4 linked regions of the Caenorhabditis elegans genome follow. The protein of the gene in region 3 purifies or fractionates together with the protein of the main gene of each other region. This does not show direct contact. Each region holds a gene or a part of one and is shown on either strand. Other genes may lie near its edges. The genes, in order: ZC443.4, gtf-2E2, taf-3 and ttb-1.

Region 1 (8,381 bases), on a different chromosome or scaffold from region 3:
GTTTACTCTTTGACTTCAAAGCAAGAAAACATTACTTTGAAATCCTTTGTCTAGATTAGGTTATCAAAAAAATTTAAGGGAAAAACGAATTTAGAAGTAAAATTTTTCCTGTACATTCTGTCACTAATTTCTGAACTCGTTAAATTGATTTAAAAGCTGTTTTTTGCACACTTCGGATGATTTATTTTTATTTTGATCGAGATGAATGCAAAAGTTATCAGAATTTATACAAAAAAACTCTTTAAAAATTTCTGAAATTTTATCTACCTTTAAACATTAGAAAGAAATCATTACAAAGTGGACTGAAAACAGTCGTTGGAAAAAATTTCAAGGAACCCAAAATTAGTGACAAAATGCACTGAAAAAAATGGTTCCGAAAAATTAATCACATTTTGAACATGTTTACATTAACCAAAAAAATTATTCACCTTAATTAAACTTGTGGTAACTTTTAATGAATTAAACTTCTGATTTTGCCGATAAGCATATCATATGAAAAATACTAAAAATGTCGAAATGTTGCACACAACAACAAAAAGTAATAAATGATGGGAGTGCCGACAGTCAACACTATTTCATGTTTGTTTTCCTACAAAAGTTATCACTCCGTTCTGATTTTGACGTCTTTTGTTTATCTCCATCTCTGTTCTCCAGTCTAAAAGGTACAAAAAGTCATATCACGCGGATGGTCTCGGTATACAGGTGGTATTTACTCATATTTTCACAATTGGGAGTCTGGAATTTTAGCAGAAAAATTGGAGTGAGTAACTGGAGGAAAAAACAAAATGTTGATGTTTGTCCACCGATACTCAGCTGACAATAACACTTGTTGACATTATTCGCTATATATTTGCATAAGTTTACCATTGTTTTGGAGCAACAATATTTGACTGTTTGGTCATCAATCCCTTTCAGTGTCTACCACATGTCAGGAAAAATGTAACGTAAAGTTCATAAAAGTCCATTTTGTTCAATGATTCAGTTAACACGGCTGACTGAAAAGTACATTCGAATTTATTGCACATGATTCATTACACAATTGACAGGTAAGGTGAGAAGTATTAGTTACATTTACCGCAATTCAATTCTGTCTTGATAAAATTTTGAATTGAAATCAAAAATCACAAATCTACAATCTTTTAGGGGTCTACGTATTTCGACAATTCAATTTTTCCCGAGTCAATGTCAGATGACTGCAATTTGGGGATTTTTTTCAGCTGAGATGTGACGTAGCACACCCTTTTGTCATTTTGATGGTCATGTCCTGGTAGTTTATGGGAGCTTCGCATTTCATTTTGAGGAGACAAAAAGTTTAAAATTGTATTTTAGCTGATCATCACTAGAAAAATTTATGTATTTTTTCAGTTATAAATTTAAAAATTACCAGAATCCCAACAATAAAAATCCGGTGGATTTTCAGAAATTTCATCAAACAGACGTTCTTTTCAATTTTTGTTGTACGTGTGATGCTACGTTTTCCCATAAACAGAAAAGCGAACAATCTGGTGCTAAAAAAATTTACGGCAAAAATGTTTTTCAGATTTGGCAAAAAAGATTTTTTCATTAGTTTATTTTCATGTTATGTATATAATTTTTTCAACTACTTGTGTTTACATGTGAATTTTCTGTGCGTGTACAAAAATTAAATTTCATAATAGTTTGTATAAGACTTGTTACCTGAAATTAAATTATTTTTTCAATAAACTGAAGCTGATTCAAAAATTTATCCCTGAACTATGAAATCTAAAATTAAAACACCTCGAACTTTAGTCCAACAAGAAACGATTTATGAGATCACAATATAATTTTTGCCAACCCAAAACGATCAGGTCACATTGACTTCCGTCCAACATTTTAGATATATGTCACGAGTTTTTCATCACAATGTTCCTGTAAAGATAAGTGGAAAACAAGAGGATTATGGTGACAAAATTCACAAATTTATTCACAATTGTTTTTGTTCTGTTATTTTCGGTTGCAATCTGAAAAAAGTGCAGGGGAAAAGTTAATTAAAAAGCGATACAAAGTGCGAAAATACATAAAATATGGGGGAAATTATGACGTTGGAGAGAAAAATGTCAAGTACAAGCGAACTTACAGATGGACAGCAGATGGATGGATGGATGACCTGAATGTGTGTTTTTCGTAGACTGCGCACGCGTACTCAAATCAGATGATGACCAGAAATGGAATAGGACAGGTGGTGTTGGTGGAAAAGTTATTGTAAAGTTATTTTACATGGTTTTAGAAAAACAACAAATTTTTACAAATTGTACAGAGTGAAGAGGAATAGTCCCTAAATTTAGAGATTGTGAAGGAAAAAACTGTGAAACATATATGTATAGGTGAGAAAAGTATTGTTATGGAACAAAAATTAAGAAAAAAGTTACAACATCTCGTACTCCATAGCATCAACGTCTTTGTCGTCAATCTTCTCAATTTCCTCTTCATCGTCCGACGACTCTTCGATTTTTTGCTCTTGAGTAACTTCCATGGCTTCTACTTTTTCTTCTTCAGATTTTCCCAGAAGGATTCTCATAATTGCTTGTTTCTGATCTTCAGTGATATTACAAGATTGGAAATCTGGGAAATTAATATTTTCAGACTCCGACTGTCTGCATCTAATTGAGCTTTGATCTTCTGTTCTATCATCTTCATCATCTTCCAAATTCTCATCATCTTCAACATTTTCCTCCTCCTCCTCATCATCATCGTCATCATCGTCTTCTTCCTCTTCATCCTCTTTTTGACTCTTTCCAGAATCCTTAGCTGTTGAGATGAGCTTCTCGACGACTTCATTGAGCTTGTTAGCCACGTCATCTTCCTCTCGTCTCTTTTCAGCTTCTTCCATTTGAGCCTTCAGAATTTCGCAGTATTTTTTAACCTCTGAAAGTTCATTGACCACAACATCTTGTGCCACCGGAGCCTGCTCAGGAGTTGGAGCTTGAACACTTTTCACAGCATTGTAGTATACTTTTGTAGCTCTCTCAGGAATTGGGCCTTCTCCAGGAATCAGAGCTGGATCATCAAATGAATAGGCTGGCACATTCTTCTGTGATCTTGACTTTGCTCGAACTTCTCTCAAAGCTGCCATTTGTTTTGCCTGAAATATTAAATTAATCAAGTTCAAGTTAACATGTTAAAATTTACCGTTTTTCTAGCAATTTTTATCTCTTTATCAGCTCGCTTGATTTCAGAATGTCGCTTAAATCTTCTGTATCTTCGGAGCAAATGATCATTGTGACCACAGAGAATTTCAATCTGAAAACCAGTGAAACTTTCAGAGCGGAACTCTATCTAGCACGGCAATTATATTATATTTTCGTGCTCTAGTTCCGAGTGTAGTCAACAAATTTCATAATAATGTATTTCAAACAATTTCCGATAAGAAAAAAATTTGAAGACTAACATTTTTGTGCTTAGGGACCTTTTAGATAAGGGACCTTTTATTGTTTTTGATAGAATTTTTGAATAATACAGAGGAATCCTGTTAGCAAAATCGGGTTTCAAAATATATCGCTACCGTATTTTTTCAATCAGTCTTGCATCCCATTTCTTCATACGCGACTGATTTCTTCGTGTTAATATTCAACCATTTCCGATTTCAACTACCATAATTAAATTTAGCAAATCTACATAAACTTCCCGTTCAGCACTAGAACTCAATTTGCAGTGGGTTCATAATATATTCAATCAAAGTTAATTCACTCACCCCGCGAGATCCATAAACTCCATGGATTCCTTCCGCTAAAATGAGTCCATCCATATGCTTCTCAAATTTGAGCATTTGCTTAAACATGCTATTAGTTGGAAACATTGCAGCACGAGCCAGTTGTACTGTCATATTCATGAAGAGTAGATCGTTGGCGGGACATTGTTTGTATACTTTGATATACTTGTAGAATTCCTGAACTTGTTGAGGAGAGCCGACTGCTAGAGCATCGTAAACGTTGTGCCAGCGCTTTGAGACATTCTGAAGACTCGGACGGATATCGATCCTCTTGGTGATGTCACGTAGTCGGTCCACAAAGTTTGCAGTGTTCACCACTGGCATTTTAGGGAATTAAGTGAGAATTGGGGCAAAAGATAAGGAAAATAGAATCAAGAAGTTTGCAAAGGCGACAGATGTCGGAAACAACGACCTTCCTAATTATGGGCAGGAGGGTCGATGTGAGAAATAAAGAACACACGAGACTACCGAGAGACCGCGACGCGAGCGATGGCGACGTGTGTGTGTTTGAGCGGCCGAGGAGGGGTGTTCGACGACAAACAACTGGCAAAATATAGGGAGAAGAGGAGGACGAAGCAAGAGCCGACTGGCGAGCGGCTATGCGAAGCGGCCTCTACGCCGTCGTTTCTCTGAATATTTATTGGTCAGATGTCCCAGGCAGAGACGAGACTGACAGAGCAGAAGAAGACGTCGTTTCGTGGCGCCGTGTGTGTGCTGCACAATGAAGGACTTGACGGACTACTAGTCGGTGTGAGAGAATCACGGGACTAGATGACTGGTTGGCAAGAAAAAAAACAGAAATGGATGGCTGGCCTCTTTTTTTTTGAAGGCAAACGTGTGTGGAAAACGTTTTTTGAAAAATGGCAGTGTTTGGGAACATGTGAAGAGAAGTGACTCGAACTTTAAACGAAATTCGTTAAAATTTTAAAGAAACGTTTGAAAATTATTTCGTTAGGGTGGGAAAAATTTCATTTTTCAACAAAATCGTTACAAGGCGGAATACTCTTTGACTCTTTTTTTTTTGGAAAACGATCTGCAACTTGGCTAAACATGAAAAACATGAAATAATAAAATGTGACAAAATACTTTTCAGTTACTACATATACAACAAATTGTTCCTTCTAAAGTTAAATGGATGTTAATTTATGACTGGTACAGCAGAAAAGTGATATTTTTGTTAGTTTGTTTCCCAGATGTCTATTTTTAAGATAGGCCAGTTTGATACACACCTACAGTCTCACTCCGCTCAAGAAGACCTTGAAATATTTTGAAATATTTCGCAAACTTACATGTGAACATATCTAATAATTCTGTTAGATATGCTAACTGTTAACTATTCGAAATCGAACCAAAGTTCGTCTTCTGACATTCATTTTAAATTTGAAACCTTTCCCATCATCAGTAAAAATCTGTGGGAAATGAGGAGAAAGCATATGCGGAACAAGAGGCCGGAGGTTTTCCCGGACGCTGAATTATCACTATCACGAGCAGGTCTATCACAATAGAAATTTGTCATAAATTGTTGCCAAATGCACATAATTTCGACCAAATAGTCAACATTTCCATTTCTTATCTTACAAACCAATCATTCAAGTTAAGATTACTCCGATCATGAAATTCGCTCTTATTTTATTCTTTGTATTAATACATTCTACATTAACGTATAAAGTTTTGGTTTTCAATCCTGCTTATGGTGCAAGTCATTCTAATTTTCTTGGAAAAATATCTGATATTCTCATTGATGCAGGACACAATGTGGTAAGATTTATATAAAAGTTATACATTAATTAACTTTAAAAACACTTTAGAAAATTTTCAGACTATGCTGATCCCAGAGTATCTGATAACTAAGAAAGATTTTGTTGGCTCAAAAAAAGTGAAAGATGTAGTGAGAATAGGAAGAGACGAGAGAGCTGGAAAACTTTTCGAAGAAGAAGGGATTGAGCATATGGGAAGGGCAAGAGTATGGAGAATGGATCCTGAAATGATGTCTCTGGTAACGGTTAGTATTTTTTGCTTTCGATGAAGTATTTGAAGCAAGGCCTTAGTACGCACCGAGGTTGCCGTTTTTCGTTTTTTTAGAAGACTTAAAAGCGAAAAACTTTAGTGGTTAAAGTTGGTCAAACAGAATTTTTTTTTGTAAAGTCTGAAAAGTGGGTGGCAGTTCTTAAAAGTTGATTGCGATGTGGTAGCGAATTGTTGAACCTAAACGTGTTTGAATTTGAAAAGTTTCTCTCAAATGAGAAAATAATGCCAGTTAATGTGAAAAAATAATCTGAAAACATTTCGAAATTCCAGATTGTCGGCTCAATGAACCTGGCTATAGGCTACCAGTGTGAATGTGAGTACCTTTTCTGAATGAATTCTTAGTCTATTTTCTCGCTTACAGATATTTTCCAACAAAAAGATATTATCGATCGTCTGAGAAATGAGCATTTCGATCTTGCAATAACGGAATCCCTTTTTGCATGCCCATTTGGTCAGTTTTTGTCGTATGTATATATTTCAATTTAATACACTTTTTCAGCTTTATTCGACCACATTGGAATCAAGAATGTCATAAATGCAGAGTCGAATTTATTTAAGGACGCTGTAAAGTATGCTCATGGAGAGCCAGCTGCGATCAGTTACTACCCTGGACTTTTCTCTCCACATGATGACAAAATGTCGTTTGTAGCACGTGTCAAAAACATGATCACAATGCTTTTTACGAAATATCTGTATGGATCAAGATATGAAAAAGAGCTGGAGATGATTAAGCCATATTATAATGGAACTGAAACTTGGGAAGATCTTTTCACAGGAGTAGCATTTAATTTGATAAATTCAAATCAATACATTGATTATCCGTCTCCAGCTTTGCCTAAAACTGTTTTTGTTGGCGGAATGCAGGTTAACACAAACGAGGCTAAAACAAAATTAAGTGATGAATGGAATAATATACTTAATATACGCAAGCAGAATGTTTTGATTTCATTCGGATCAAATGCATTTTCATCGGAAATGCCTGAGGAGTTCAAGTAAGAAAATGCAAACATCAATATCAAAAATTCAACTCTTTCAGAAAATCATTTTTATATGTGTTCGGAAATATGCCTGAGATTACTTTCATCTGGAAATATGAAGAAGCCAATGCAACTTTGACTAGTCATCTGCCAAATGTGAAACTTACCACGTGGATGCCACAAAACGATTTGTTAGGTAATTATTAAACGTATTTTACAAATTTATTTTTTAAGATACATAAAAATGCGTAGTTTTAAAATTTTGACGTCACAAAAATTGTGTAGTGTGATTTTTTGTAAAAAAGTGGAACCTCCAAAAATGAGTATTTCTAATATTTGAATAGGTTAACCTAGGACGCTAACTTTACTACCTTTGTTCTTAAGAATTAACAGAAGAGTTTTTGGAATAATTTTTGAAACACACACTTGTGTTTACTTTCGATCGAAGTCATCAATCAGGAACTAGAAATTTACAGCTGATGATCGTTTGACACTATTCGTCACCCATGGTGGGTTGGGCAGTACAATGGAGTTAGCTTATCAGGGGAAACCGGCACTGATAGTGAGTACACTCTTGCCAGATTAAACACCACTCTATTTTTCAGATTCCCCTTATGGCTGATCAGCCAAGAAATGCTCATATGCTCAAAAGGCACGGAGGATGTCTTCAGTATCACAAAACCATGCTTGGGGACTCCGAACAATTATTAAAAGCTTTTAAAACTGTACTGACTGAGAGAAAATATTCTGAAAATGCTCAGAGACTTGCTAGAATCTTGAGAGATCAACCAGTTTCTCCAAAGGATCTTGTTTTAAAGCACTGCGAATTTGCAGTTGAACATGGGGCTCTAAATTCTTTAAATTCTAGAGGAAGATATCTAAACACTTTCCAATTTTATTCATTTGACATAGCAAGTTCTATTGTGATGTTAGCACTTTTGGTGTTAGTTTTTATATATTTTACTCTTTTATTTATATTCAAACTTGTTGCCCGAATTTTTTTATCGCAGAAAACCAAGATGGAATAAATAAATGGATAATCTAATTAAAAATTGTAATTTACTATTTGGAATCAAAAATAAATAAACAAATCTTATAATATGTCAGCAATAAAAATAATAAAAGAACAATTGAAAGTTCAATGTGTTGTCAAGAAATCCATTAAAGTATCGTCATCAACGGGGTCATCAATTTCCATGTTGTTGTTATTGTCTTCCATAACATCTATTTCCATGAAGTCTTAGAGTACTGACAATAGTTTATTTAGTAAATTAATTTTTGAGAAAGTTTCTTGACACATTGCTTTGAGACTTTGATTAAATCACAAATGACTCACTATTATCATAATTTTCTATCCAAAATGTTGATTTCATTTCAATTTCCATTGAATCAGCTATTCCATTACATCCATCAGTTGGTTTACAAAATGGGACCAGTGGCCTCAATATCTGTATTTTCTTCCTTTTTTGTGAAAATCGTACTTTTGAAAATACTAATGGATTCTCGTTCTGATCGAAATGAGGAAACTGTGCTGTTTTCTAAGAACACTTGAGACGTGGATTTTCTTTGTTGTTCTTAAATACGAAAATCAAATTTACTGACAAAATATCTAAAACTTACAATCACTTCGTTGCTGTAGGGATAAT
Region 2 (7,007 bases), on a different chromosome or scaffold from region 3:
GGGTCAAATGTTTATACAGTTGTGCTACTAAACGTATTGTTACACGCGTTATTAATAATTAGAATTAGAATTATATCGTTTTGTACGGATTGAGAATCCCATTTGGGTCGAAAATGTTCTTGAGCTTCTTTGTCAAAAGTCGTTCTTCAGGATCTTTTCCGAATGTGGAGTACGGTAGCTTCAGTTGACCGATTCCATGTTCAGCTGAAATTGACCCGCCGTGATCGACAACCCATTCGTAGAGGAAGGGATAGAGCCTGGAATTTGAAATTATTAATAGAATTAAAATTTTATAAAAAAGAAAAATCTCGAAACTTACAATTTTTCAAGTTCTTCATTGTGTTTTTCAGATGTAATATTTAAATGAGTGTTTCCATCTCCCAAATGTCCATAAGTGACAATTCTTTTAGCCAAAGAACCACATCGTTCCTTCATCACATTCGTCAATTCATAATAATTTTCCAATGGTAAAGAAACATCATGCTTATAGACATATCCATCTCTGGTAACCGCCAATGGTGCACTTTCTCTCAATTGCCACATCTTCGTAGCTTCTGCAGAAGATCCAGCGAGCACTCCGTCGATAATCAGATTTTTTGAGAGGCATTCATCCAAAAATGCGCTCATTTTCTCCATATCGTGATCTTCATTGGATCCTGATGTTTCGACAAGGATCGAGAATGGGGTTGGAGCATTCAGTACTGGGTGCAATCCTAGATTCGTTTTCAAACATTCCATCGTAGCATCGTCGAGAAGTTCGAAGGAGGAAAGGATTTCAGTGAGGCTGGATTTTGCAAGCTTCAGTACTTCGCAGCATTTTTTGAAGGATTCGATGCCTGAAAAAAATTAGAAATTGAAAAATTTGAACCCATTATATAAATATTCAACCTACCAAGCATCGCACTTTGTACACTTTTCGGTTTAGGAACCGCAGTCATTGTGACGCTTGTGATAACACCCAACTGCCCTTCACTTCCCAAGAATAGGTGTGGAGTGTGCAAAGTTGTGTTGTCCTTCCGAATGCTTGATCCCAAATGTAGAACAGTTCCATGTTCATCGGGAAGAACCACCGTGAGCCCGAGAAGATGTGCGTGAAGACTTCCGTATCGAATCAACCGAATCCCTCCTGCACACGTGGCAATATTTCCTCCAATCTGACAGGATCCTTTGGCTCCGAGATCAAAAGGCATCATATATCCGAGTTTTGCAAGTTTGTTGTCCAAGTCTTCCAGAATAAAACCAGAATCACACTTGAGAATTCCCATTGTGTCGTCGAAAGAGAATTGCTTGTTGATTTTATTCATTGATATAACAACTTCATCATGTACTGGAATTGATCCACCAACGAGTCCTGTATTCCCTCCTTGTGGGACTACTGCCAATTTGTTCTTGGAGCAATACGCCAATATTGCAGAAACCTCTTCGGTGCTCTTCGGGTAGAGGACGACACTGCCAGGACCTGGAAATTAAAACATTTAATATTTAAAGTACCTATTTAATATTAAATAAACCTAATCTTAAAATACAAATACCTTTAAATTGGCCTGTCCAATCTGTAGTATGATTTGTAATATCGTCCTTCTTCACTGCATCTTGCCCGAGAAAATTCTCAAATGCCATTAAATCCGACTGCATCACTTTTGCAAATCCTTCATGTCTGGCGGCAAGAACTGCTGCGTAGCTTCTAGTTGGTCTTCTGATTCGTGGCAAGATTTTCAGAAACATCTGAATTCAGAAACTTTTCAAAAAATAACTTGAAACTTCAAAAGAAATAGTAGGAGACAAAGCTCGGCTAGGTGACCGATTTGCCGAAAACAATAAGAAAACAAACGGCTGGGCAGTGATAAGAAAAAGAGACAGAAGAGATACAAATGATCATAGTTCATTTTATGTACTGTTAACAGAAGTGTGTAATTAAAATCATTCGTAATCCTCCAAAACTCCGTCCATATGCTCGTTTTGTACTTTTTGATTGAACCGTCTCTTCGCGGCTTTTCTTTTCAGTGGAGCCTGCATTCGAACCTTCGGCGTCAGATCCTTCATCGCGTCGAGACCCTTCTTCTGGAGATATTCTTCGATTTTCTTCTCATCCAAATGATCCACAGACACGTGTCTCCACAAGGCTTTGAAATCGTCTTCGAGCTCTGGGAATGTGAATTCTTTGTCATTGTAGAAGACGACTCGATCCTTTTTCTTATTGACTTGTGTCGGAACAACGATCACTTCAGAGGATACTTGCTGGAAAAATTTAATTTAATATTTCACAAAATTGCTCCTTTTTTATACTTTGATTTTTTCAGTTTGACAAATTTAAAAATTCTGATTTTTAATCAAAATTAACCCTAAATACCCTAGTTTTTGAAAAGTTATAATGAGAATATTCTGCCTTCAAAAATGTTTTTCCTTTGAAAATTTTTTAAGGAAAAAGGTTTTATGCTGGAAAAGTGTAATAATTTTTTTTTACTTTATTAAATATATTTTTTCAAACCTTTTTTTTATCGATTTCAATGTTTTTTTGTGGAATATTTAACTTATGGGATCGAAAATGATCAAAATTATTCGTGTAAAAATTGAAAAATAACGTTAATTTGTTCAAAAGTCTGAAAATAAAGTAATTTCTGAATTTTATTTTATAAATTTTCAACACATTTTATCTTTTTTGTGAATTTATATATTTAATTTTCAATTTATTTCAATTTGAAAATCAAAAAAAAACACATTGTTGAATACTCAGAAATTCTAAAAGATCTAATTCATCACAAACTCAAATTTTAATTACTACGAAAAATAAGCCGCTGATAATTTTAAAATCAATTTTACTAATTTTTAGCTGAAATTTTTGAAAAATAAAAACTTTATTTTTGTTATAAATTATTCAAATTCCCACCTGCAGTAGTGCATCATAATTAGCCACACACTCAGCCAAATCCGACACAAGAATTCCACCTTTTCCGTCCTGATAATGTTTCCTCGCGACAGCTACCAACGAAGTTTTTCCTTTAATTTTGTAAGGTGGTCGAAATGCGAATTTTTCGGATTCCATTATCAGTCGAGGATTGTTTGGTAATGCTTCTTGAAGGAAAGCAAGACTTCTTTTTGAAAGATCAAAAATTTGAAGTTCATCGAGAATTTCTTGAAGTGTCAACGGCCATTGTTGATTGTTTAGGTGGCGTTTCTGCAATTAACTGTTTTTAACTCGAAAATTTCGCTTTAAAATATAAATACCTTCATATAATCCACAATTTTCGCCATTGTACTGAAATTTGTGGCATTTGATAACGCATTGGCGTTGCTCACGGAATTATTGAAATCTGGGACTGAAAATTCCGTTTTCAGAAACTAATATTACATTTTAACAACTAACGTTTCGACAAATTTTGAGCCGGTCCAGAGCTTTTCTTCTTTTTCGCTTTTGCTGCTTCTGAAGAGTATGTTGTGTGTGAATTTGGTGCTGTTGTCTTAAAAAATCGATAAATTCAATATTTTTTTAATTTTTAAAGTTCTCACAGGCTTATTCTGAACAGCCATCGTTGTTGCAGCATGCTTCTGGAAAGCAGTTCGCTGCCTTAACAATTCCGGATCCATTTTTGCTTAAACGAAAACCTTTCGAAACAATGAAGAGTACTCTCTTAAGAGTGAAAATCGATGATGGAAGAGGTTTTTCAAGGCCAGTGGCCGGCAAATAATGGTGGCAGGGGGCTGAACCCTGTAGTAAACAATAAAGTGAATTAGTTTTCGCTGATTTTATCAGAATGAGAAAGATGGAACAAGGAGTGAAAGGAGCTTTAAATTTGAACAATTAAAATTAAAATTAAAGTGAAAGTAAAAGTAAAAGAAAACAAAAACAAAACTAATTCTACAGTTGGAAGCTATTTTCAAAATTTTCTAGACAGATAAAACATGATTTATTCCAGCTGCTCCTCTTCTTCTAGTGGATCATTGACGAGTTCAGCAGCTAGGTCATTTGGAAGCTGGAAGCCTATTTGGTGAAGAACCACTGTGTTTGATATATCCGTCAACAGGCGAGCCATTGAGAGCTGACCGTCGAGCTCTTCGCGGATCTTTTCAGAACACTCGGTTGTGTTTGTCGCGTTCTTTACCATTTCCTTCAACCGTGAACTTTGAACGTTCCAAATCTTTTCGAGAAAAGCTTTGTAGCAACCGTCTGTAATAATAATAATATTCGTTATTTCTCGCACCGAAAAGATGACAGAACGCCGCTCACCGTAATGACCATCGAGTTGCGCAAGATGATTGAATGCGTGGTGCAGTGGTTCGGCGAGAAACGTGGCAGGTGCAGCCGACCAACGATAAAGATGGTTGCGTACGAGACACACCATCTCCGCGGCTTCATTCTGGAGAGTTTCATAGTCGTCGCGGCGAGGATCGAGACAGGTGACAAGATATTCGCTGAGCAATCCTGAAGAATCAATGGCCAGCGCCATAGAAGATGAGGTCTCAGACCAAAAGCCTTGTACTTCGCAAACTTCTGAAAATTAAAAAGCTATTAAAAATTAAAAATATTAAAAAAAAAAATATTACCAATGATCCGGAGGAAAAGCTGATAAAGTTTCTTCCCGCTCCACATTTGGTCCGAACTCTTGGAATTATTCATGATGCGAAGAGCGCGGATTCCATTGAGCAACGTTGACAGCAATTTCCTATAGTTTGGCTCACTCTTCCGCAAAGTGAAGGTATCTGAATCGTCCTCACAGAAATACGCCCAGTCGACGCGTTCGCCAATTCTTGAAGATCTTGTTGGTCCGAATAGGATGTAATAGAACTTTCCCTGATATTTTTCAATTACGTTTCGGATCAGAACAGACAACCAGGAGCCAAACTCGATAATCTCCTGTGGAGAAGCTTCATCGATGTCTTGACTCAAGTTGAGGAAGAGTTGGGTCAACCCGGAACGAACTTTCATCTCGAGACCTATCAACTGGCCCGGTTTAGCAGTAAGAACCTTGATAATCGAAGGACGGAGATCAGCGTCGATCATGATTGCAGCTTTTACCATTATACGACGTTCAGAGAACTTCCAATTGTGCGTTATCGTTTCCAGGAGTCTTCCAAAACCATGAAGGGAGCCTCCGAGTTGATCACGCAAATTCCGGCAGATGTTCAGGAAGACTTGAGCGCGGATCTTTGTGTTCATTGTGATCGTGATGGATTTGATGAGGCCACCTGTTAAAATACATTTAGATTTATAAACGAAAATAAAAATATTGCAACACTAACCACATGCAGTGAAAGGATCATTCTCTAAGAATTCTTCATCGTCGGGGCGGAGTGAGCTATTGAGAAAGTCAAGATTATCCAATTGCATTCGACGGAAAAAATCGTGGGTTGAAACGTAGGTTTTGACTCGTGAGCACAACTTTGTGGATGTCAGTGAAAGCGCATTAATGGATTGCACTGAAAAATGTGAATGTTAAAATTTCTGATCAGTACTTCACAACTAACTGTCAAGAATTGTGAAAATATGCGAATAGGCTCTATTCGGCAGGTTTTCCAAGCCCACTGGTGCATCTGGAGATGGCACACATTTCGAGGAAAATTTGACAGGAACACCTAAAAGTGCTCGCAAATCCTCCAAGGAGTACAAAAGCCCATTGTCTGGTGAATCGGTATGAGAGGTTTGAGATAAGTTGTTGGGAGCTTCGAAACTTTCTGAAAATCAAGAAAATTAATTTTAAATTAAAAGAAAAATTGTCGTACCGTCCAACTTCTGGCATACGTTTTTCGATTCAGAGCTTGAACGTTCCCGTTTTACTGTTGCAAAGAACTTCGTGATTGGGGGCGTCGAATCGGAATTTCTTCGCTTTCTAGCCAACAATCGGAACGGTGGCTCGGTTCGCCGAAACATTTTTATACGAAAAATACTTTAAAATCAGAGGAAAATACTTTGGGACCGGTGAAAAAGCATGGAGGTTCGCACAAACTTGTTTAGGAAAACAGAAATATGTCTCCGTGGCAGGACCATACTGTGCGCCGTTGATGTCCCTTTGATACAGTACTCTTCGCATTATTTATTTTTTTTCGGCGCGCCTAGGGGTTTTCGAGCGCAGAGTTCAGGAGGCCTTCTGGATTATGGATAGAGGCTTGATTTTTAAAATTGTTTAATTCAATACAGTTTTATTAAAGTTTTTTCTAAAAATCTTTTCTAAAAATAATATCTGATTGCTGTTTATACACGAGAACAAAACTAATTTCATGGAAACAATTTTTTCTCTTTATTTTCTCTTCGAATAATTTAAATTTTAACAATTCAGGTTTTAAATAATCAATTTTTAAATAAGCAAGTGAATTTTAAGCATAACTTTTCTTCCTAGTGTACGTAAATCATTCTTTCCAACAAACATATTTTTTCGTGACGAAACTTCGCCTTCCAGAATATTCTTTTTTCAGAAAATAAATACCAAAAAGCACAATTTCTTATCTCTTGCTCATTCTTTTCTTTGTATCGTGCTCATGCTTTTATTCATTCCTCATTTTTATCTTGCGAAACCAATGTATTTTCAATAAAAAAAACGAGTGATGCATGTGCGCTCCACCGGCCGACGGAAGATCGAACATGCACTGCGCTTCGCGAGTAAATAGAACGCTCTGGAAAGTTCCGCACTCTTCTCTCTCATGATTCGGCGCACTCTCTCTTCCATTTCTCCGTGTTTCCTCTTCTGATGTTGACCCATATTTATTCTGCCGGGTGTATTCTTTTTATCTATCTGTTGCTTCATTTATTCCGTTAACCTGTTACTGGTTAATATTTCAAAAATTCATATGATTTCTTTTCAGATTACTTTCCACAATGGGAAAAGACTACTACAAAGTGCTGGGCATCAGCAAAGGTGCAACAGACGATGAAATCAAAAAGGCTTATCGTAAAATGGCTTTGAAATACCATCCGGATAAGAATAAGGAAGCTGGAGCTGAGAACAAATTCAAGGTATTTTTTAAAATTTAGTTTTCTAATTTAAAAAAAAGTTTTTGGTCCTCGGTGAAGGATA
Region 3 (7,645 bases):
TATAAATTAGCATATATCACTACAGCTTGACCAGTTTTCCAACTACCAATTCAAAATGTGGTACAACTTAAAGATGAAGTGGCACCAGTTGAGAAAGTGTTATGGGTACCAAAATGACCGAATATCATGATAAAACTACAAAAACATTTTTAATTTTTTTAAAAATTTACTCTCAAAAAGTGACAATTACTCAGTTTTTGCCACTCAGAACTTTGGAAGTCGACCAAAAAAAATTGTTTCTACATTTTTATACTGTAATTTTATTCTCATTATTTGTATTAAAACATTGTGGGGGTCGGAACATGCAACATTGGATTTCCTCAAAAGCTCATATCTTTTCAAAATTTTGGCAGTTTACCAAAACTTTTACCGGAAATTATGAAAAATCTAAAAATTTTTGAAGTGTTTTATTATGATGATCAGTCGTTTTAGATCATCATAAGTGAATTTACAAATGTTAGACAAAATCCCCACTGCCGCTACTCCACCTTTAATAGTTGATAAAGTCAGTTGAAAAGTTACAACTAACAATTTACATATCTATAATGTATTTAGAATTCTTGAATTTTTAGAGACATTACAAAGCCTTATGAATAGATGTTTAAATACAAGGTCTAAAAAATTGCTTCTAAACCAATCTGTCAGTTCAAGATTTAAAAAAATCTTGCAAGCTTCTTGTTAGATGAGCTTTTAAAAATTCTAAAATCTGCGCATTTTTCTTCCTAATTGTACGGAATAACAAAAGAAATTAACAAAATGTTTTTTAAAATTGATGGAGCCGGTTGAAAAAACTGAAAAAAAAATTCCGTAAATCTTATCTTAATCTTTTCTAAAAATTTTAAGTAAGTTGAAATTACAGTAATTTTGAATCCGTGTACCAAAATGAGAAACTAATTTTCAAAATATAATATCTTTGCTTGAGTGTTTTCGTTAGAGTCATTGCCGTTTTTCATTGCCCCATTAACATATCGCTAGCATAAAAATGGCACATCAAAATACAATAAACAATCTTCAAACCGCACGCTGTCATTGTTTCAGACAAGAAATTCTCCTAACAACCACCAACCTGGAACATCCTCTTGCTTGACCGGTGTAGACGTCTTTTCCTTTTCGATCTTCACACAATTCTCAGCAGATTTCCGCTCTTCTCGCTCTTTGCGACGCTTCTCCTTTTTCAAACGCTTGTACTCTTTGTACTCCTCCGAACTCTTGTCCCGTTTCTCCTTCTTCGGCTTCTTCTCCTGATCCTCTCCAAATTCCAACGTAGTATCAGCGGCAACAGATGACGATGGTCCTTCGGGGAATTGATCTTCAGTTTTGATCTCCACCTCCAGTGCTGGCTCGGCCAACAGGAACGGAGCAGAGTCAATGTCAACTGTAGCTCCGACGACTGGAACACTTGTCGCCGGCTCCATGCTAGTCTGGGGAACGAGAATCGGCGCAATCGTCAATGACACCATTCCCGTCGCTGTTGCTGGTTGTTGTGCTGGTGGCAGCGTAGTCTGAATTGGTGCAACGACTGAGTTGGGTAGAACAATTTTACTCTTTGCCCGCAATAACTGATCCCGAATCTCTTCAGCTAATGTCTGCTTCTTGGGCTTCTTATCAGAAGTTTTTTCCTGCTTTTCCTTCTCTTCTTTAAACTCATCTAACTTTTTCTGCTGCTGTGCAATGATTTGCTCACTGAGACGCTTTCTCTGAAGCTTTCATGTTTGAGTATTTGTTTGTTGCTGTGAAGTGTTCAAAAACGTGCAAAATCGTCTTAAATTGTGTGCTGTGTTAGAGTGTTAGGAAGAGTGTTAGAGTGTTGAAAGGTGCATCATTAAAGTGTTTCTTAACTATATTTTTGTGCAAAAATTCAAATAACAAACCTTCTCCAAAGTGGCTTTCTTTGGTGGACGACCCTTCGGTTTTGGCACAGTAACAACACCTTCCGGCTTCGGCTTCTTCGGACGCCCTGGCAATCCCTTCACTTTTGTCGGTGTACCAATGCTCATTGAGCTTCCAGGTCTCGACGATGGAGCAGATCCTGGATTTGAGCCAGTGCCAGGGAGTTTCAAGTATGGCTTATTGGGTTTCACCAACTCGGACAATCGGAATGCTGGTCCAGAATCATCTTTGAATGGTGACTTGTGCTCGAAGGATTTTCCGTAGGCGTTGATAGTGTCCATGAAGATTTTGTTCTGAAAAAAGTTTGGTGAAATACAAAAATAAAACATTTTCGGTGAGCAGTTTTGATACATTTTTTAAATAAAATTTTGAAACTTGTCTGAAAACTTTATCGTGTCAAAATTTGTTTGAAAATCAGAACTTTGAAATTTCAATTTATACGTGAACTAACACTCATCAAAATTTGCTCCAGGAGCACGCGGCAAATCTATTTTTTAGGTCTAGTTCTAGTATATGTATAGTAGTGAAAGAAATAGTGAATCATTTTTTTTGTTGAAAACTTTGAAAAAATCTCAAATCTGTCTGAATATTCCCATTTACTAAAAACAATTTCACCAGCCGTTGGTGCAAATTTTTTCGGCGAACCAATGTTTCGAAATTTTCAAAAAAAAAACTTCACGACAATTACACACCTTTAAAGTTGGATTACTACACCAAAGTCGTCAGTTTTGTAGATTTTTCTAGAAAATTTGCAGCCCATCTTGATTTGCACATGAATGGAGGTAGATCATAATACATTTTTTGAGAAAAAAATCGTCAATATCATAGATATATTTTCTGTCTTTTTTCTGTTGGCAATTTTCACAAAGCTAGTTTCACCAAAATTTCAAATTTAGTCTCTAATAGAACATTTTCTCTAGAGAAAAAAACTCACCTTTAGGAATGCTTCGGCCATCTCACCCAAACTTGGCGAAGCCATTATACTAGCCGATGCAGATGACGATGCAGAAACAGAATCCGTCGAAAATGACGGTAATGGCTTGTTGACTACCGGCGGTGGGAGCGTCGGGGCAACCTTGCTCGCATTCTGAACCTGTAAGCGACGCTCGGCTTCCAGTCTCTTGTTCTCTTCGAAATCCTTAAAGAATCCGGTCTCAACAAAGTTCATATCTTCAAAGTTTGGAAGGGTCGAGCCAGGAAGCGCCGTGATTCCTTTTTTGAATCGTTCGTGATTCCGTTTCTTGGCGTACGCGGCTTCCTCCGCCTCACGACGCTCTTTCTCCTCGCGAGCTTGTTGAACTTCCGGATTCTCGTTGCGTCGGTAGGTGTTGATCCTTTTCAGCTTGTTGAACTCATCCTGTTCACGTTCTTCAGCACTTTTTACGACTTTACGTGTTCCCGTGTCATCGGGCGGCTTCTCCTTGTTTTCTTCTTCGATCCATTCTGGGTGAAGTGCTCGAAAGTGTGAAGGAATGTGCTCACGACGCTCCTCGAGCTCTTTTTCTGATGGTTTCGGGCCGTACATGGAACGGAAGAAATTGTCATCTGACTTTGCAATTTCCTGGTCAGGCACCGGGATAACTGGGAGCTGAAAATTGCATAAATTAGATAGTTTTTCTGGTGGCTTTTTGTTTGCTATGTGATCTTTATTTCTATAGATGATTCTAACTTTTCAAAAATTTTTAAGTTTAGTTAATTTTATTTAAGTACTGCGGGATATTTTAAGTTCAGTTTTTTGTGGTTTTCGTGGTTTTCTCATCCAAAAATTTTTGAAATAGTAAATAAATTGTTCACTTCAACTTTTGGAAACTTTTAGAACTGGAAGAGGACGTCCTAGCAAATTGGAGATTTTTTGGATTCACCAAAACTAGTGATTCCTCAAAAAGTACATTTTGCTCAATCACAAAATACACTTGGTGTCAGGCTGTCGCATTACGGCTTGATCTACAAAAAATGCGGGAGTTTGTTCTTAAAACAAGTGTCGTCAGCACACTCTCAATCATGCAAAATCAGTTGAGAAGTATGCGACTAAATTCCCGAAATTCTCTAGGTAGATCAAACCGAAATGGGGCACTCTGGCTGATTTTTGATTTTGAATAAAACTACTTTTGCTTCAGATTTCTTTTTCTTTTTGTTTGGTTTCGTTTTAATTTTCAATGCTTCAATTTTTTTCTAGCTTCTAATAACTTCCGGCGTCTGGCAGACCATAAAATAAGCTCTTTTCTTTAGATTTCTCTTCAAATTTCAAATTTCAGTTACAAATCATAATATCCTCACCGCATGAAGCATCTCTGATTTGACCTGTTTTGCATAATCCTTCAAATCTGGAAGGCTAACTTTTTGGTGCTTGAAAGCTGCAATCACATCATTTGTGACCGGTTTTGTGCGACCCGCTGGAAAATAATTGAAAATTGGCATAATATTTTGAGAGAAGAAAAAATTCCCCACCTAATTCCATAAATGCTCTCGTCGAATGTGCATACTCGTTTATCTTGCTTCTAAGTAAGGCTGCCAGTTTGCTGTTCGCCGATTGTGCGACAGACGTGAACCCGAAGTCCCGAAGGATGCTTTTGCAGGTGTCCTGCAATTTGTAGACGGCAAAATCGTGAGCCGATAGGCTCTGCGATTCTTCCATTTTGAATTCTGAAAAAAGAAACATTATTAGAAATAGTTCATGTGGTTTTGGCAAAAAAATTTAATAAAAAACAATTTTTCATGTATTAATAATAATGAATGAACCAAGCAAGACAAATCAATTTGACAACAAAAAAAATTAAACTTGCCCTGAGAAAACTGTGAAAAACAAAAATCTTAATAAAACAATCTTGCTATTTTTTAAATTCTAAATTTTACAACTTTAAATTAAATTACTATGAGCCAGTTTACGCGCCTCTGCTGCCCGGCAACAAAGACATCTGTCACAGTGGAGCGCGATTGTGACTGTCTCTAGCGATTTGCTGTGTTTACGACCTTCAAAAGAGAGAGTGAGTGTGTGAGAGACTGTTAGAGGCACGAGAGACGCAGAGTGCGAGTGAGTAAGAGGCAGGAAATAGCCCAATGCTTGTTTGTTTAAGAAGTACCTTTCGAAACAAGCAAAACTAGAGCATGTTGAATTTTTATTTTTTTCTACTAATCAAATTTGTGAAGCAAAAAATGCAAAAGAAGCAAAATGTTCAATTATGATTTCACGGGACACACAAAAATATACAGGAAAAAAAATTAATTAAACATAGAAAAAACTAAATAAATCTGAAGAAAATTAACAAGAAACGACTGATCTGCAGAGTTTGTATAGAAATTGAGAGCCAAGAAAACAACCAAAATTCAATAATTTGCGGGCCAAATTTGCGCCAAAATCACTCGAAACAAAAACAAACGGTACGGGTTTGAGAAGAATGAACAGGAAAATGGGAGACGCAGACGTGCAATTGACGAGACAGTGCACACCAACCGAGAGAGCGCAGAGAGACAGGAGGACGGTTGCAGGTGGCCTGTAAGGATGGTGAGGGAGGTAAGCAGGACAACATGTTATTATGGTATTCAACTGATAATGAGCTGGTTTTGCTCGGTTGCAAATCTTCACATAGGTTTGTTGGTAATATTATAATCGACTAATTAATTATTAAAATAAAAATGGTCATGTTTAACATTTTTCAAAAGAAAACTCCATGCTTTTCGGACCAAGTTGCCGGTTGCCGGAACTTTCAGCGTTCGGCAACTTCAGCAAATTCTGCTTGTCGAGCATGGCAATTGCCGAACTTTTTTCAGCAACTTCGGCAACCGCCGATATCAGTGTCAAACATTTTTTAGTTCAGAAAAAACAAGAGAGCCTGAAAAATGCTACAATTTTACTGTAAACAAAAAAAACGACCAAACTTTTTTTCAAAACGCTCAACAATATAATTTCAAAAAAAAAATAAATATATATATATGTTTGACCAACGTCAAAACTTTGAAACCTGGTTGCCGGTTGCCGAAAAGCTGCCGAAATTTACGGGGTTCGGCAACTTCGGCAAGTGCCCGATCACGTAGTCATTACAGGAGACCAAGAATTCAAAAAATCAATCTCTGGATTAGTCAATTTCGGTCCCGTTGACATACAATTTATCAAGTGTGAAGATCTAGATCTGCAACAGGGAAATTTTTGGAATGTTGATTCGGATGATGCTCGAGAGAGCCGACTGTGATTTGAAAGCTTCCAAATATTGGTTCCAATTTAGCCATTCGTCGCCAATAGAAAGAGTTACACACGGGAAGATGGACACCTTGTGATGAAAAAAATCTCAAAACTCATTGCCGAACCACTTGATCGAACGAATACCTATACCTATAAGAAAAAAAATGTACGCACCTGAAACATGTGGGTAACAAACTCCTACTTGAAATGAAAAAAAATATGCGGAATATGAGAAAAAAATTGTGGGTAAAAATTCATACACGCGTAAGAAGAACAGGAAAATATTTTGAAATCCACGGAAATGCCCCCTATGAAAAAACATGCACCCACATAAAAAAATGATGGACTTCTTAATGAAAAATGATGTACCCCCTTATGAAAATCAAGAAAAGTTTGCAAATTTTATGAAAAAACAGTGTTTTTTAGTGAAAAAACAATTGTGACACAATTGTTTTTGCGTAAAGTTAAATGTACAGAAAATGTAATTGTTTTGTGCACAAAGTGTACATGAACCATTTTTCAGATTGTCCTCCTAGGCTCGCTTCACTCGCCCGGGCTGGACTCTTCACCACCGCTCACCGCGGCGGGACAAAAATCTACATGTACATCTGATATATCGTATGGTTTGAAATTGAAAGGACTGGTGTCAAAAGAACCATTATAGGAATCACTAGTCCTAGGAATAGTCAAGTATATACAAGTCCTAGGAATAGTCGTCGTGGCATTTTACTTGTGAAAAGTTTATTTGCGGGGGCATCCAGACGGTTCCCTTCAATATAGAAACTACGAACTTGGGAAGAAATTAGGGGGTATTGGATCATTTTATGTTCAATTATTGCAGCTTCCAGCTCATTCGAGAGTCCATCAGTAAGATCAAATTCGTGAACGAGTGCGTAGACATCCGAAACGTTTAGTTTGAATTTTTGTCCTCCGTGGTTGTAGGCTTCGATGAGAAATTCGCTCTTGTTCCCAAGTTCAGCTGTCGAAGATCCCCCACGAGGATGATCGATAGCCCGCCGAAGAGCGCATCCGTCCTCTTCTGCGTTCTTTTGAGAACCATGTCCGTCGCATCCAGGTGCCAGCTCGCTAGGAGTGTGATTTCATCGATGATAATAAGTCGTGTCGTGGCGTAGATGAATGCCTGAGATTTCAAGCTTTCCAGATCTTCAGGTTTTTCGTTCGGTAGGCCAATTGTGCAATGCAGTGTGCGCCCTCCGATCGCTTTTGCTGCTTTCCCGGTAGATCCAGTCATCAAAACTACTCTTTTTCCTGCGCTTCTGTTCATTGAGTTTTCTATTAGCTTGATCAAAAATGTTTTCCCTGTCCTAGCTGCACCATTTATCATTAACAATACTTGTTTCTGAAAACGAATAACGAATTTTGGGAAAAAAAATATTAAAAATAATTTTAGAAATGAATGAAATTAGAAATTAATTTTGAAGAAATGGATTTTGGTGAATTAGGAAGATTATTTTTAAAAAAATAGAAAAATTAAGTTTCGATACATCAATTATAGAATTAAAAAAATGAATTTTGGACATTGAATGAATTCAGAAAATGAATAAAGGTAGAGTTTTA
Region 4 (7,745 bases), on a different chromosome or scaffold from region 3:
ATAGACATGTTTTAAAGCAATTTCCCCACTGAGCGTAGTCTACCTTTAAGAAACTCATTAATGATCATTAAAAATGTAGAAAATTTTAATTAAATTTTTTATAGTTTTATTCGATCATTACATCCTTTTTTTGTCATTTGAAGCAAAAAAATCGAAAATTTTGTTTTTTTTTTTCGTAATTTCTTAAAAAGTACCCAGCGACCAAATCCATATCCACCGCGCATTTTGCAATTCTCGTGGCTGCCGCCTGAATCGAGTTGGGTAGCGATAGATTTCCACAGAACCGAGACATAAAATCTGCAGATGTAATTTGCTCGAGATTCGTCTCCAAACTCCGTACGATAATCTTGAAACATCGTCCAATTTCCTTTTTCGAGACTCGAGAAACCGCACAAATTTCCTTGAAAGTACGGGGAACGCCGTCTTTTCGGCACGCAATGTATAGGCACGCGGCCGCCTGTGCCTCGTTGTTTTTTCCGCGGAGAGCTTTACTTTCGAGCACATCTTTGAATATACGGGAGGCGCTGTCCTGGAAATTGGTTTTTTTTTTGTAAATTTTTGAATAAGCTTGTTAATATCTTGAATTTTTCCTAATTTTCTCAGCATTTTCAATGAAAATCGGTGAAAAAAAAAGAAAATCGCATGAAAAATGGATGGAAAATTCGAATTTTCAACTAGAAATGCGCATTTTTACTGAATTTTTTTTGACTGAATTTTTTATCAAAAAGGGCATAAAATGTTGTTTTTTTTTGGAATTTGAAAATTGAAAAAAAAAACAAATTTTTCAAAATTTCATACTCAAATTAGGCTATTTCTCTGAATTTTCACTGAAAATAGGTGAAAAAAAATCAGAAAATTGCATGAAAAATGCCGGAATTGTTAGGAAAATAGGTGGAAATTTTGAATTTTCAAATAAAAATCAATTCCAAAAAATGGAAATCATGCATTTTCAACTAGAAATTCGCATTTTTAATTAATTTGTTTTAATTGAAACAATCAAACAGGACATAATTAAAAATGTAGATTTTTTTTTTTAAATTGAAAAAAATTGGTTTTTTCCAACATTTAATACTGAATTTGGGCTATAAAATTCTGAATTTTCTGCCTTCTTCCTATATTAAATTCGGAACTTGCGTGATTTCCCGTTTTGCGTGTCGCAAAACCACCGTCCGAAAACTGAGCACACACTTTTGTCTCTAACTTTGCTGTTACTGGATATTTTTTGATTTTCTTTTTTTCAGAATATGTAAAAATATTTTTTCTATCTTATTATCTAAATGGTTATGTAATTGGTTCATGTCTTTTAAGAGAAAAGTTAAGTAAAACACCAAAAAAAGGCGTTTTTCGCGTGTCATGTCGCTTTTTTTGCACAGTGTTGAAGGTGATGGTACAAAATTTATTTGAAACAATTGGTGTATGTCTGGGATTGTTAAAAAATTTTAGTTTCTGCAATTTGATTGACTGTGAGCAAAGTTATAGTAATTTGAAATTTACAGCTGAAATATCTCTACATTTTGAAAAGTGTATGGAAAACATGTTTAACCTCAACATTTTTGTTAGGTTTTTGACATCAATATGTGAATTTGTACGTAGATTTCGTTTTTTAAAACAGTTTATCAAATATCTACCTGGAAACATATGAAAAAGTTCAAAATTTGCGAATTTTGCAAAACATTTTAAACATAATAGGAAAAAATAATGTTAGCAGCGTTGCATTGGTTCGACCCCCACCGAGTGTTATTTTTTTTTTAATTTTTTTTTTGAAGAGGTATTCGGTTAGGAGTTGATGCTAAGGTACTGTAGGGGTACTGTAGGTGGTAAAAATAGGTGTACTGTAGGTGTACTGTAGGTGGTAAACGGTAGGTGTACTGTAGGTGGTAAACGGTAGGTGTACTGTAGGGGTACTGTAGGTAGTAAACGGTAGTTTTTTGTCCAAAAACTTTTTTCCCCCTCTCAGAACTTTGCAGTCGTTTGAGCTATTCTGATTCTGAGCAAAATATATAAAACCTTGAAGATTTCTTAAGCGAGTGACAAAAAAATTTTGAAAATCGAGTCATACATCACAGAGATAATCGACCCAGAAGAAAGTTAATGCCTTTTTTGATTTTTGATTTTTCAACTTTGAGCGTTTGTTAATTGGTTTGTTTAAGATTAATTTTAATTCTGTTTTTTTGAATAGACTCAGAATTTGACACTGAATTCGAAAAATGTAAGATTCAAAAAAATTTTAGGGGAAATGTTGTCCAGCTTTAAAAATGAAAAAGTTTTGAAAAAAAACTACCATTTCATATCCTCACCTAAGTTTTCGAAATATCTTTTATGTTTTTACATTTTCTTTTTAAAAGTGAAAAATCTTTTCAGCATATTTCATCAATCTTAGTAAAAGTTCAAATCAGCGCCGAAGGCGCTAAATAAGACTTCAAAGTGTTAAATTAGAAACAACTTTTTAGTATGTTTCTTTCTTTCAAAAAACTTTGAAAATCCAGCGCCGAAGGCGCTGATAACTCTTAAGAATTTTTGAATTTGAAACAACTGCTTAGAATATTTTTCTAATCTTAGAGAAAATTCAACTCAGCGCCGCTGGCGCTAAATAATTTTTAAGAATATTTCAATGTGAAACAACTCCTTACATTAGAATGTTTCTTCAATCTTAGAGAAACTGAAAACTCAGCGCCGGAGCCGCAAAATAATTCTTAAAATGTAAAAAAGAAACAAATCCTTAGAATATTTTATTAATTTCAAGGTGAACACACTTAACCCCAACACAGGTTTGAGGCGAAGCCGAGAACCTACGCCAGCTACCTTGCTGATACGTTAGAGCGAACTAACCCTATCCCCACTCCCGAAGGCATAGCGCACGTCGTGCGCTAGTCACTGAAAATAGGTGAAAAAAATCAGAAAATTGCATGAAAAATGCCGGCATCATTAAGAAAATGGGTGAAAATCTTGAATTTTCAATTAAAAAACAATAATTTAAAAGAATTTTCTGATTTTACAGAGTAAAATCTTCCAAATTTGAGATTTTACCCAAAACTTTCCTTGTGAAGACGTTATTCATATGGAAAATTATTGGAAAAAAAGGTGGATACCTTCATTTTCCACTTTTTTTTTCGAAAAATCGATGAATGACATAGAAACGTTGCTTTTTTACAAATATTCAGGTTGAAATTAAGTTTTTTCACAACTTTCTTTGAGTTTTTACGGAAAAAACTAAAACTTTGATATTAAATTTTTTTTTTTCGGGAAAATTCAGGTTTCATTGACAATTATTCAACTTTTTAAGCGTTGAACAGCTGTTTTTGTCCAAAAGTGAAAGAAAAACTTTCAAAAAATGTCTAAATTCGCTAATTTTTTCCGGCTGAAATCGTTCAAAATTGAGATTTTTTACAATTTCATGTGTGTTTTCAGCAAAAATCCAGGAAGAATGTCATTTTTATAGTTTCTATTCCAATTTTAAAGTGATTCCTTTGCTTTGAGATTATAAATCTGTTTTTTGACGAATTTCCCAACATTTTTCATCGAATTTTTCAGTTAAAATCCAATATTCTACCTGAATATTTCTTGGCAAGTGAATTCTCTCGCTCATTTCCCTAATAAGGCTCATCGCGGCGGTCATTTGACGATCCGTATTGTTCATTGACTTTCTTTGAGCATTCGCCAAACTATTATCACTGTCGGAGCCGCCAAAGCCCACGGCGATAGTTGTGCTCAAATCTCCGCCGCTGAGCAGCGGATTTTCCGGTGCTCCGACACGAGATGGGTCATTTCCACTACGTTCGTTGGAAAATGAACGCCATTCGGTTCCGACGTCGACCAGACTGAAAAATAGTTAAATTAATTGCTTTAAAAATGATTTAAAGATCATTTTTTGCAGGAAATTATATATTTTTAAGGCTCACCGATCACCGACGACCAAGCCGCACGCCGGACAGACCAGATCCCCGGCACGGTGATCTTCGATCAAATGCACGTCTGGATGGATCGGACACTGGACTGGAGCCGACATTTTCTGCTGAAATTTTGAACATTTTCGAGTTTATTCGGATTTTTAACGGTGAAAATGAAGGAAATTCGAATAAAAGTCGATTTTTTGCCAATATCCTAGTCATTTTTTTCTTTTTAAAAGTCTTTTAAATCGATTAATGACCAATTTTTACACTATAGTGAACTGTAAACTAAAATTTCCGACGAAATTCGCACATCATTTTGCATTTCGAAAAAAAAACACAATTTAAATAGCCAGAAACGGAGTGTCGTTAGCGCGCCCTGTTTAGTGTCAGGGCGAAAATTGGAGGGAATTTAAACGGGATTTTTTTAGGATTTATGAAGAAAAAACAAGTTTTATAGCGACTTTGTTTTATTTTGAAGTAAAGTTCAAAGAGAAATGGCCAGCAAGCGTTGTAAAAACGGGCATTTTTAGGCGAATAGTTTGTATTTTCGTCGATAAAACATGAGAATTTGGTTTAAACTACTTTCTGAAGAATGTAAAAAACGAGAAATCGTGAATAATCGCCGAAAATTGAGAAAAAAATGTATAAAATTCGATTTGTTTGTTTGTCCGAGAGGAGTACACGGTCGCGTGGCCTAGGAAACTTTAAGCGCTTTGCGCGCGGGTGTTCAAATAATAGTTAATTGGCAACAGAGATTTTTGGGCATGCCCAAAAATGCCCGGGCACTTTGAAGCCAATTATCTTCCGTTCTCGGTTTTTTTACAGAAAATATTGAAGTTTAATTCATTTGGCAAATTTTAAAGAAGCTTCCCCAAAAACATCGCCCCAGGAAAGGGAGAAGAAGGATTTTTAGCCTTAGGAGTTTAAAAATTATGCAGTATTGCATTATATATAGTTATATACAAACATTGTATATAAATATATTTAAATATATTACCCAGACGCAAAATTTGCGATTTCAATCGCGTTATTTCGCCAAAAATACGGTACCCGGTCTCGACACGACAAATGCCGAATGGTCTGCGCCTATAAAGAGTACTGCGGAAGTTTTGTAAATTTTCATAGTTTTTCAACAAAAATTAATTGATTCATTAGTAAAAACTCAAACACAACAATATATTTTTTATAACTACATAAATTCGTCAAAAAGTACACTATAAAAAATACATTAGAAGCCAGCAAAAAAAGTTTGAAAGTACAGTACCGTTTGAAGGCGCACACCTTTTTGCATTTAACAACAATTTGTCGTGTCGAGACCGGTAACCGTATTTTTGGTGCAAAATCACAAATTGTCGGTGTTAAATAGATCCCTTTTTGCCGCCCCGTGAGCTCAAATTGCCACGTAGCATGTGCAATAAATTCTGTATGTAGTCTGCTCAGGATCCCCATACGAACACCACGTTTCCCTTCTCAAGTGCAACCCATCAGATAGAGACCGCACACGTGGGGGGTCTCTTTTTCTTTCTCTTCTCATTCTCTATGTTTGTTGGTCGGTCGACAGAAGGGGCAAGCCCCACCCCCAAGGGGCAAAGGTCGGTTTTTGCGCGGAGAGTGTGGCATTGTTGGAGACGCAGAGAAAATAGTAGTCTAGTTGATCGGAGGGAAAAGGTGTCTCAGAAGTTCAATGCAGTGACGGGAAATTTAGAAGATAGTAGGAAGTGCAAGTGGTGAAATACTATTCTGATGAGCTACTATAAAATATACAACAAAAAACTATTGAAAGTGGTATAACTTTGTTCATTGCAGAGATATTAATAAAATGCCAACTGACCAAAAACAAAAAAATATTTTTGAACATTTTTCTAGTTGACAGTTTTTTCATAACTCGTTTGCTTGAAAAGTTATGAGCGTTTCTGTCAAGTAGCATTCTTTAATCGGCCAACTAAGCCTAATCCTATCAGAGAAAAATATCATAGTTTGCAACTTGTTTTAAGTTTTGAAACGGAGTCCTCCACATTGGAAAAACGTTTATAACTTTTTAGAGAAAACCGAGAAATGAGCCTGAGCGTTAGCCTAAACCTGAGCTTAAGCCTAACAGCCGTAAGCTTCGAAATAAAATTTGAACCTTATCTTATAAGATATAGCGGTCAATGTATAATAGAAAACATCTGACTCACCATATGCCAGTTTAAAAATTTGTGTAGTTTTAAAATAACATAAATCATTCAAAACTTTTCAACTTGTAAAGACATAAGTAATAATTAGGTATGCATATTTGTGCCTAATGCCTAAGTTATGAACCCACCACGATCGAGGACCAATTCTGAGAATTTCATGATTGGCACATAAAAATTTATCTATGATTAACTCATAACTCCCTCCGATTTTAGACCTTAAACCCTTGTATTTGAATATGTAGTTCCGCGGAATTCCGTTCCCATTTTTTCGAATGCTAACTTCTGCTTCTCCCTCCAAATTTTCCCCATTCATTTCCAGACAAATAAAGTCATCTGACACACATAAATATTTAATTTACAATCAACATAAATGTGTGACTTGATAACTTTCTCTTTTGCCCTCTAATTTTCCAACAAAAAAAATTGAAGTAGAGAGTCGAAAGGTCAGTGCCACCTTTGCCCCTAAATGATAACACACACGTTTTTTTTTTTGCTGATTGGTGTTATTTTTGTAGTAAGTTGTTTCAGATTCTATTTTGAAATCTCTGATTCCCAGTTGTTTATGTCAACAAAAACAGTGATGTGTGTGTTTGGATTTTTGGAAGTCGGAGATCAGTTGAGGAGGGGATGAGGATGACAGTGACATAATGCGTGTTAGTGGTGAGGGGCCGACTCCGCCCATAGAGTCCAAAGGGCGATTCACAAATTGGGCAGAGGCGGCATGAAAAACGAAGGGGGTCCTATGAGCAGATGGTCAGTGCATTGCCTCTTGGCAAACTAAAAAGGAACGGTGGATCTCACAAAAAGAGACAACTCGGAGAAGAGCAAATTTTCGTGTTGATTTCGTACAGTCTCGGTGTCTACGTACTTGCCTACATGCCTGCCTCGCCTGTCAACATGCTTCTATGTTTTTAAGTCTGTCTCAAGCCTACCTACCTATAGGCAGGTTCGAAGAACGCAGCCTACATGGCATATGATATCCAAAAGCTCTTCTTGTTTTCAGAACTCAAGAACCAAACCAAAAAATATCTCGTCTATAATTACCACAGCCGACAACAACATTTTCAGATATATAATAATAATAATTTATTCACTAACTTTGCAATATAGGTGTAAACCTTCAAATTGGACATTTAAAAATAAAAGAAAGTAAATAATAAGATGACCGATTGGAGCTAGTCCATGGTCAAATGGAGACTAGTACAATTATATTACAATCACAATAAGATCAAAGTAGAGGAGGAAGAGGAGATTATAGCATTATGCATATTCTTTGAGAGGGAGGCAGGAAATGCGCTTGAAGAACGTATTGCCTGACACTGGCACAGGAAAAAGTTTTGATATTTTATTCCAAATTGTAAGATGTGTGTGTAAGAAGCTATTGTTATTTGTCTTGCCAATTGCAGTCATTTGGTATGGAAACCGGGGCGATTTAGATGTTTTAAGGTACTGGGCTAAATTGTGAAAGTAATATTTACCGGTTATTATGTTGTGGAATGTTTTTAATATAAGGAGAATCCGTCTGTGTTCCAGAGAGCTCTGGTCAGCTTGAATCAGGCGATGATCATACGAATCGTAGGAAATTTTGCATCTCTTAAAAACGTGCCTAGAGTAGAAACGTAAAGGTTGCTCTAATTTTGCTGAGAGTGATGATGATTTGGGATGATATATTTCACAT

Evidence for each region.
Region 1: the proteins of taf-3 (region 3) and ZC443.4 fractionate together in Caenorhabditis elegans (co-fractionation; one large-scale study listed by BioGRID). This does not show direct contact.
Region 2: the proteins of taf-3 (region 3) and gtf-2E2 fractionate together in Caenorhabditis elegans (co-fractionation; one large-scale study listed by BioGRID). This does not show direct contact.
Region 4: the proteins of taf-3 (region 3) and ttb-1 fractionate together in Caenorhabditis elegans (co-fractionation; one large-scale study listed by BioGRID). This does not show direct contact.

What each region holds. Positions count from the first base shown.
Region 1 is NC_003283.11:12,814,992-12,823,372, forward strand, and holds ZC443.4 (DUF659 domain-containing protein), read right to left. Parts: upstream 4,896-8,381; 5' UTR 4,055-4,895; coding exon 3,713-4,054; intron 3,262-3,712; coding exon 3,151-3,261; intron 3,104-3,150; coding exon 2,387-3,103; 3' UTR 1,921-2,386; downstream 1-1,920. Other genes in the region: ugt-18 (UDP-glucuronosyltransferase), read left to right, coding at 5,342-5,488, 5,550-5,732, 6,029-6,071, 6,120-6,209, 6,258-6,750, 6,795-6,931, 7,212-7,297, 7,341-7,763.
Region 2 is NC_003280.10:11,538,906-11,545,912, forward strand, and holds gtf-2E2 (Transcription initiation factor IIE subunit beta), read right to left. Parts: upstream 3,591-7,007; 5' UTR 3,586-3,590; coding exon 3,508-3,585; intron 3,459-3,507; coding exon 3,365-3,458; intron 3,318-3,364; coding exon 3,226-3,317; intron 3,176-3,225; coding exon 2,888-3,175; intron 2,239-2,887; coding exon 1,921-2,238; 3' UTR 1,868-1,920; downstream 1-1,867. Other genes in the region: dhgd-1 (D-2-hydroxyglutarate dehydrogenase, mitochondrial), read right to left, coding at 71-257, 320-836, 893-1,459, 1,533-1,725; F54D5.9 (F-box domain-containing protein), read right to left, coding at 3,906-4,165, 4,226-4,489, 4,543-5,184, 5,239-5,415, 5,464-5,670, 5,719-5,866; dnj-13 (DnaJ homolog subfamily B member 13), read left to right, coding at 6,809-6,946.
Region 3 is NC_003284.9:16,329,330-16,336,974, reverse strand, and holds the start of taf-3 (PHD-type domain-containing protein), read right to left. Parts: upstream 4,541-7,645; 5' UTR 4,526-4,540; coding exon 4,339-4,525; intron 4,284-4,338; coding exon 4,168-4,283; intron 3,479-4,167; coding exon 2,825-3,478; intron 2,184-2,824; coding exon 1,872-2,183; intron 1,698-1,871; coding exon 1,067-1,697; intron 1-1,066. Other genes in the region: C11G6.2 (ATP-dependent DNA helicase), read right to left, coding at 6,978-7,427.
Region 4 is NC_003283.11:153,092-160,836, reverse strand, and holds the start of ttb-1 (Transcription initiation factor IIB), read right to left. Parts: upstream 4,013-7,745; 5' UTR 4,007-4,012; coding exon 3,900-4,006; intron 3,819-3,899; coding exon 3,551-3,818; intron 530-3,550; coding exon 195-529; intron 1-194.